2 linked regions of the Daphnia pulex genome follow. The protein of the gene in region 2 interacts with the protein of the main gene of each other region in a biochemical or structural test. Links are inferred from orthologs where the notes say so. Each region holds a gene or a part of one and is shown on either strand. Other genes may lie near its edges.

Region 1 (3,871 bases), on a different chromosome or scaffold from region 2:
GCATTTCTCCAGCGTATTCTTTGAAGAGGATTACTACTCCAACATATTCGAATGTTTAAATTAAAAATAAGCTTGCTGCTTAATACGTATCAAATTCTATGAAAAAAGTAAAATTAATATATTTGGTTAAAATCACGGATTTATAATCTAAATTTTTATGCTTGCCTTGATTGATGATGATCATATCTTTTGTTGCTAAAAATTGTTGCTAAATAAATATAAATCACAATTATTTTCAACGGATTTTCCGATGTCTTTATAAATTCCGAGAAGAATTTGCATAAAAATTCAGCCGGTTATTGAAAAAAATTTACTTAAGTTGTAATATACAGTAAAAATAAAAACCTTTGGGGAGAGTAGTTAAAAAAAAATTCATTTCGCTGTCGCTGAACGACAGCTTATCAAAAACATGTGATAAAGTTCTATATTAGTTCATACCAACCAGGACTTTTAAAATTGAACTCGTTTTTCGTTTGTAGTAGATTAAAAACTGCTGATACACAAATAAATGACGTCAATGAGCAAATGAGTTGCTAACCAACCGGCAAAACTATTTATCAATGTATGATATGCGCAAGTGCCATACGCAATCTTACTTTCACATCTGTTCCAGCGATCCTAAGCGTCAAAAGTCAAATTCAATCAAATGTTTTACTTATATTAATAAAAATAGTAGCAGATTAGCCATAACATTGCGACGACGCAATCGTCCAATGTAGCGACAATTCTGAACTGACCAGCATTAATAACTGCAAGGTATAAGAGAAAATTTTATTGTATATTCTCTCCTATGCCATACAGACAAGTTTTGCGATGAGGATTACAATGATGAGGCCAAAGTTCTTTTGTTATGCTTACTTCTTTTTTTATGAACAAAGAAAGAGAGGAGAAAGGAAGGAGAGCAACAGAACAGGTATGTGTTATTTCCTAGATCGAGAAGGTAGAGGATGAATGAAAAGAAGATTGGAAGAGCGCGGCAAATGGCCTGCGAAACACGCGCACGCACACACAAAATAATCGAAACGATAATGACACGTTGAAACTGGTTAATGCAAGAACTGGCAAAAAGAACGTATCATCAGTATTTTGCTTTTCCATCTTCTCGTTGAATAATTCCATTGGTTAGTAGCAAGGTGTCATTTAAGAGTGTTTTTTTTTAGCTCTCCTTATTTTATATAAAGGAAATTTTATTTTGCCTGTTTTGCTGTCAATTTGTCTTGCTCACAGAATATTACACCTCCTCTTTTTGATAGGCTCAGGAGGTTCCAGTGCTGCCAAAATGGCTTCGTCAAAGACGTTCTTCAACCCTTTCTGCGAGAGACATAATCCAACAACCATGTTACCTATTTGCGACTATGGAGAAACAGAATTTGCTCGACTTACCTGAGTGAGGGCAGAGCACTCCACGTATTTCACTGCTTTCAGTTCGCGAGCTAGCTTCTCTCCCTGGTCGATAGTGATCACTCTTTGCTTATTTTTTGCCAACTTCTCTACAGTTGCCGCGTCGTCTCGCAGATCGATCTGCGTTCCAACTAACAAGAAAGGTGTCTTCTGACAGTGGTGTGTAATTTCAGGAACCCACTACAAAACAGGAGTGCATTAGTTTGCAGTTTTTTAATGATTGAGCTACTAATATTAACCTTTTCTTTGACATTTTCAAATGACGACGGTGAGACAACAGAAAAACACACCAAGAACACATCAGTCTGTGGATAACTAAGTGGTCTTAATCTGTCATAATCTTCTTGACCTGTTGTCATAAAATTAAGGAAATATTGTTAAGTAACAATGAAAAAAAATATATATAAATGAAGTAGAAAGGAATTCACACCTGCTGTATCAAACAACCCAAGAGTGTAAGGTTCACCTCCAATCATAACAGTGACAGCATAATTGTCAAATACCTAAAAAATGTCAAATAGCTGTTAGAAATAACATCTTGAGAGAGTATCACATGATAGCTTACTGTTGGAACATATTCTGACGGGAACTTGTTGGTGGTGTAAGAAATCAGAAGACAAGTTTTACCCACTGCACCATCCCCCACAACAACACACTTGATGGTCTGCATTGCTCCTTCCTGTCAGACTCTAAAATGAAAGGGAATAGATAACATTAATGAAATGGCTTACACAAAATTAGCAGATCACAACGAGATAAGCGGGCGAAACGAAACTATTCGACAGCCATTTTGATAGATAGGACGCTGGGCGAAAACACACACATAAAAGTGGAGTAAGACTTTGGTTTAAACCGGTCAATGAATAGAACCTCAAATCACTTTATTCACTTACGATCAATATCTTGAAATGTAGTATCAGCACAATTTGCTGAAAAATATTTAATATCCAAAAAAAAGCGGTTGTGGAAGTGACACTTGGAGAATATCAAGGCGTGAACGTCCCTGGTGCAACGTTGCCACTTGTCAGAAAATATTTCAGGACGCCACCGCTTCAACCGCAAGCAGAGCTATAGATACCTGGTCAGTTCATGGCTGTGTTGGCTTCCCTATCCCGGTTTCAGGGTAAACGTAAGCCGATTTTCAGGGGGTTTTAGGGCGGAGCCTGTCAGAAGTTGTGAAGTGGAAACTTTAAAAAGAGCCATCTAGTGATAAGACGTTGAGTTTCAAATAATACTTTCGGCGGCCATTTTTGTGTATTACGTGAAAGAAGCCTAACCATAATTTATGTAAAAATGGTTGGCAGGTGTGCTGTTCCTGGTTGTAAATCAACATATTACAAAGGAAATCAAAAAGAAAATGAGGTTACCCTGTTTGCAATTCCTAAAACTTCATTATCAAAATGGCAAGAAGTAATTCCATGTAGTAATTTGACGAGCACCTCACATATTTGCTCCCGTCATTTTAACGAAAGTGACTTTCAAACAGGGATTGAAATTTTGAACGTGTTCCATCCTTACAAACGGTGGACTCTTAATGCTGGAGCAATGCCCTGGAAACCAAAATTTTCTGTTAAATGTTAAAACCACCAAAGCTGTCCAATCATTGCATTATTTCTTGCCAAAGCTGCAGCCATCGTTCAAGATCCTTCTCACCCAATGTACCGTGCAATCAATAACTTTCTACTGGTATGTTCCTGTTAATTGATTGCAATTTCCTTCTCGTTTAAAACTTAAACGCCATTCCTTTCATTGTTTCTAGGTAAAATCGGCTATGGATGTTACCCAAGTTCCAGAATTTTTCGTCATGCTTCATAACACTGAACTACCTGAACAGAGGTCGCTTCAAAGGAGTTTTTTACTCAGCCTTCTTCAAGATGGCATCAAAAGTCGTCAGGACTATTTAGTGTGTGCTCGAAGAAGAGTCTTTCCAATCCTTCTCTCCTTGCAGCCATCCAATCTATTGTCCGACAAAACTGATAAGGTTATTTTTTTAGTAATTGAATTTTAGTTTGAGATTTCATCGAGACATTTTTCTTTGTTTGATTTACAGCGGCTCATACTTGAAGTCGTACAATCTTCACTTCAGAATTCAATCATTACCTATGACTTGATTCAACATCGTGGCCTTATCATGTGGCTTGACAGCCTCTTGCTGACCGACACCGTTGCAGATGAAGCTAGTCAGATGGTGTCGGTGGTGACGACAATGTGGGACACGCTCTACACTCACATGCTGAAGAAGGGAGAGTCGAAAGAAAAGGACGACGAAGAAGCTATTGCAAAACTTGAACAGGAGGTCGAAATGATGGAAGCCGAAGACGAAGATACCGCCGACAAAACCACTAACAAACCCAAGATGCAGAATGCTAAAATCAGTAGCAGAAAACCTATTTGGAATTTACTTCCTATGCAGCAACAAGTTATTGCTCCCTGGATCATGTGTGAGCTAATGCAGTTGATGGTCAATTTG
Region 2 (4,350 bases):
ACAAGCTGTAGCATGGAAAATTTTACCTTGATCAAATAATTATGCAATTTACCTATTTAAATAAGAGTCAAAACTCCTTAACTACAACGGGACAGCCAAGAGTTTATGACTACTGAAATTGAGTTATGTTGCACACAAGTGGTATAAATTTAGGCACTAACAGTAACTTTTGAGCGACGACAAGAATAGCTATAAAATGATTTACCTGAAGAGCCCTTATTTAGGAAGAATGCATCCGTCTGGCTGATGGCAATGACTGCCATGAGAAGGCAATTGCACAGTAAAACCTGGAAATATCTTAATGTTATGTAACTAAAATTTGATAACAAGTATATTAGTTGCCTACCTTCTTCATTGCTACTACTTGAGAAGAAATACTAGATGTGTTCAAGTCTTCAGCTCAGTTCAGCGTCTGCTTTCAGTCATAAATCTTTTCTCCTTATATACGTCTTCACCAGGTCTTCGCCACTAATGACCACACTGCCTGAAATCTTTCTATTGGTCTTTCTTTCTTTTTTTCTGCGTGTTTGAAACTTCATGACAGTAAAGAATTGGAGGGTGAGAGAGAGCGCGACGATGCGCTTGTTGACTGAGGCTCAATAAGTAAGTGGAGTAGGGCCTTCTTCGATTCAAAAAAGGGCAACAAAAACCTAAGATCGCACTTTTCGGTCCTTTGCTGCGGCACAATCACATCAACAGCGGCAAAAGCAATGAGATTTTAAGGCATTAAACACTTTCGCTTTTTCAATTGTCCGCCTTCGAATGGGGTGTAGTAAGGACATTTCGATTTCTCTTTTTTATGCGCGTTCATGATGAAATGAGAATTCTCATCTTCAACACGACAAACAATTATTTCGACATTCAGTTCGTCGTTTGTTTGTTTGAAAGTCGGCGTCTCCCTCCGAAATGGTTTAATAAATTTGAGTTTGAAGTGAATAGATCATCAACATTCACTGTAAATAGATGCGAGAATCAACCGTTTGTGTCCGAATCAAAATAAATAGTCCATTCAAAATTTAAGCCGTTATCATTGTTTGTTTCTATTGTTTCTTGATGAGAATACGACCGTCAAAAAATTTGACAGACTGCTCATTTCGTCCAACTTTTATTATCATTGAAAAGCTTATCAGGTCATGCTTTCATATTTTATTCAAATTTTCTAGTTTTTTCTGTAATCTTCTTTTTTTAATCATTTATAAGAAAAAACTTAAGAAACTAACAAAACTAACAAAACTTAAAACTAACATTTATAAAACAAAGTTTTATTTTTCTTAAAAACAGAATATCCAAAGTCCAAATACTTGGCAACGTCACATTGCTCTGTTTTGACACAATGGTGTCAGTATTACTGACGTCGTGTCTGTTTTTCTTTTTTCATCATGCCTCAAGAATGGATAACCCTTAGACGAGAAGATATTCGTTTGCGAACTTTTAACGAACACTTCTCTGCCACATTTTTAAGCCCCCTCTTACTTGCTAAAGCCGGTTTCTTCTATGTGGGAGTTGACGATCAAGTTCAATGCGCGTTCTGCAGAGGAGTGGTTAGAGATTGGGAAATAAATGACGACCCAAGAAGAGAGCATCAACGTTTGTTTCCGTCGTGCGCTTTCATATTAGGTTGGTCTGTTAAATTCGGAAATTGCAATATGACATTAATTTGTGGTCCGTTGGTTAGGTTTACCAGTAGGTAATATACCTTTGGGTGAAAATCCATCCACTGTACATCTGAATGTAGAACGAACTGCTTCTCTACCTGTACCTCAGCAGTTGAACATAGGATTTGGAGCTACCAGGCAGTTTACTTCACAATTTAGACCAAATGCCTCACCAGACACTGGTATGACAACCACTAATTACTTCATTATCTATTTGGTTTACAATACAATTTTGTTTCATAGAATTGAGATCTCCAGACAGTATGCAATTGAATGCATTAGTAGGAGAAAATTTGGAAGAGTTGGGCATAACTAAACATAGCGGACCTCGGTATTCCTCATATGCTACTTTGGATGCACGACTTAAAAGTTATAATAACTGGCCTTCCCACCTGAAGCAAACTCCAAGAGCAATGGCTCTATCTGGTTTCTTCCATCTTGGTACAAATAGCACAAAAAATTCTGGTTTTATTTTGTTAATTTAATTTATGGATTTAGGGACCAACGATCATGTCAATTGTTTTCATTGTGGATCGGGCTTAAGAAACTGGGAACCAGAAGACGACCCATGGCTTGAACACGCTCGATGGTTCCCTCAGTGTCGCTTTGTTATGCTGATGAAAGGAGAACAGTACATTAAAGAAGCGACAGAATCCATGTCCAATCATCCTAAAGCCAAGCCTTCCCTGTCGGCATCAGTGGGAAATTCACGTGCCTCACCAAGAGAGGCTTCAGAAGCTGATCTGCGAAGTTTACTAGGAACTCCCATAGTTCAGACTGTTCTAGCAATGGGCGTTGACCTTTCTCGTGTTAGGCAGGCCCTAAAATACCAAATTCGTACTACTGGGCAGCCTTTCAACACAGTTGATTCGCTTCTTGAGGCAGCTATTGAAATTCAGCATCACAGCGAGCATCGCCAGTCGTTGGAAGATGGCAAGTAAGTCTTTTGCGTGTTCACTTCTCAACTCGAATTAGACATTTCATTGATTCCTTTCACCCTTCTTAGCTATGAAGATGTGGACTGGCCGTCAGCTGTACCTTCCTCTTCTCGTCGACGTGTAACATCAACTGGATATACCCTTGTAGAACTTCCCGTTTCTCTAAGTACACCGAGCGATGAACATAGAACAAATACCAATGAGAACGTACCAATTGTACCATTGGTTTCGGAAGTAAGATCTGAAACCCCGCTTTCGCATCGGGAAATGGATACTCTTAGTAAGCCAGAAAATCCTGAAAAAATAAAAGAACAAAGTTGTGCCCTAGAGGTATCAGCTTCATGTGAAACATCCACACAATCCGTCGATAGAAGTAATGTATTAATTTTCAGACATTTTGAAATAATTAATTTGACCAACATTTTATTTGTTGTAGCCCAAATTTTGGAAGAGGAGATTCGTCGCCTGAAAGAAGCTCGTCTCTGCAAAGTATGTCTTGACGAGGAAGTGTCAATTGCATATATTCCTTGTGGACACATTGTGACTTGTGTCCAATGCGCGGCAGGTAAACTACAATATTTTGATCAAATAATGTTACTAAAATTTTAGCGTTTTAATAAATTTTTTTTTTTTTTTAGCTCTCGAACACTGTCCTCTTTGTCGAAAAAATATTAAAGGAACAGTCCGCATCTTCTTGTCTTAAGTAGTTCATTTGGATTCGTCTAAATGAATTGGCGATCGCAAAGACGAACTATAGATATTTTCTGAAGTACAGTTCTAAGTTCTGGAACAACTTAGTACTTGTAAATTTAAAAAATTCCACTGTTAATAAGTATTTAGTATGGATTTTTGTTTATTATTTAAATTCTTGCAAATGTTCTTGCAAACCCACCGGCTTTAGTTTAAAAAATAAACGGAAAGTTATTCAAATCTCAAATAACTCAAGTTCGAAATATTTCAGTGATAGCAAGAAGCTTCTGGTATTCGATGGCCACTTCAACCGTGAAACCGTGAAGGTCTCTTTTCAACCGAAACAGGAAGTTGAATGTTAAAGGTGCGAGTGCGTGTATGGCCAATAGTCAAGTCTTGCGTGTTCACCAAGCATCACGTCCTAGAGTAAGGTCTGTAACATAATTTCAGAACAAAACAAACATTTTAAAAAAAGTTAAGATTCGCAATAACAAAGAACGCGTTCGTTTCGCTGTGTGCATTGCCAGTAGACAAAAACAAGCCTTCATTCCTAAATATCTTATCGATGTGATTAGGCCTACTGTCTCTAACTGTTGAGTGTAACCCACTTGTTAATTTGATATGCGTAGCCACTAACGAATAACGGTATTTGATTTCCAGCAGGCAATGTGTTCTCCCAAGGCGGCGGTTTTCTTCATCCTCCTTGTTCATTCGATCAGGTCGGACAGTCATGGTGACCTCGAAAAATCAAATAGTAAGTTCCTCATTCGTGCATGTACTTACTTCTCTATTATCAAGATGAAATCAGGATGCCATTTGTAATTATATGATATTCATGAACGAATCAGGATTTAAAAGAATCGTTCTCGGCAATGGATCAGCAATTCTTCCTCCTCGGCCATTACCCATTGGAAACTTGTCTAGCAATCATGGAGAGGCAGATTGCTACTTTGTTGGCACTCATTTCTATTGTATTAGTCAATTCCTGGTACTATATAGCCTATAATGAATGAATGAGTGGGATCCTACCGGATGAAAGTTTTAAAGACTTAAAATTTTTAACAAGT

What was found.
Region 1: the proteins of baculoviral IAP repeat-containing protein 7-like (region 2) and cdc42 homolog form a complex in vitro, tested with the Homo sapiens proteins (2 studies listed by BioGRID, with this or other methods). The link is inferred for Daphnia pulex from reciprocal best matches to the Homo sapiens genes BIRC2 and CDC42.

What each region holds. Positions count from the first base shown.
Region 1 is NC_060017.1:3,183,453-3,187,323, forward strand, and holds cdc42 homolog, read right to left. Parts: upstream 2,450-3,871; 5' UTR 2,295-2,449; intron 2,091-2,294; 5' UTR 2,072-2,090; coding exon 1,967-2,071; intron 1,905-1,966; coding exon 1,832-1,904; intron 1,751-1,831; coding exon 1,641-1,750; intron 1,582-1,640; coding exon 1,384-1,581; intron 1,312-1,383; coding exon 1,222-1,311; 3' UTR 758-1,221; downstream 1-757. Other genes in the region: alpha-tocopherol transfer protein-like, read left to right, coding at 1-64; nucleolar pre-ribosomal-associated protein 1-like, read left to right, coding at 3,058-3,087, 3,161-3,382, 3,452-3,871. UniProt on the Homo sapiens protein: Plasma membrane-associated small GTPase which cycles between an active GTP-bound and an inactive GDP-bound state. In active state binds to a variety of effector proteins to regulate cellular responses. Involved in epithelial cell polarization processes.
Region 2 is NC_060023.1:3,932,867-3,937,216, forward strand, and holds baculoviral IAP repeat-containing protein 7-like, read left to right. Parts: upstream 1-1,304; 5' UTR 1,305-1,379; coding exon 1,380-1,617; intron 1,618-1,675; coding exon 1,676-1,837; intron 1,838-1,898; coding exon 1,899-2,096; intron 2,097-2,153; coding exon 2,154-2,592; intron 2,593-2,661; coding exon 2,662-3,158; intron 3,159-3,231; coding exon 3,232-3,296; 3' UTR 3,297-3,530; downstream 3,531-4,350. Other genes in the region: loricrin-like, read right to left, coding at 206-287, 347-355; uncharacterized protein LOC124198279, read left to right, coding at 3,950-4,037, 4,132-4,271. UniProt on the Homo sapiens protein: Multi-functional protein which regulates not only caspases and apoptosis, but also modulates inflammatory signaling and immunity, mitogenic kinase signaling, and cell proliferation, as well as cell invasion and metastasis.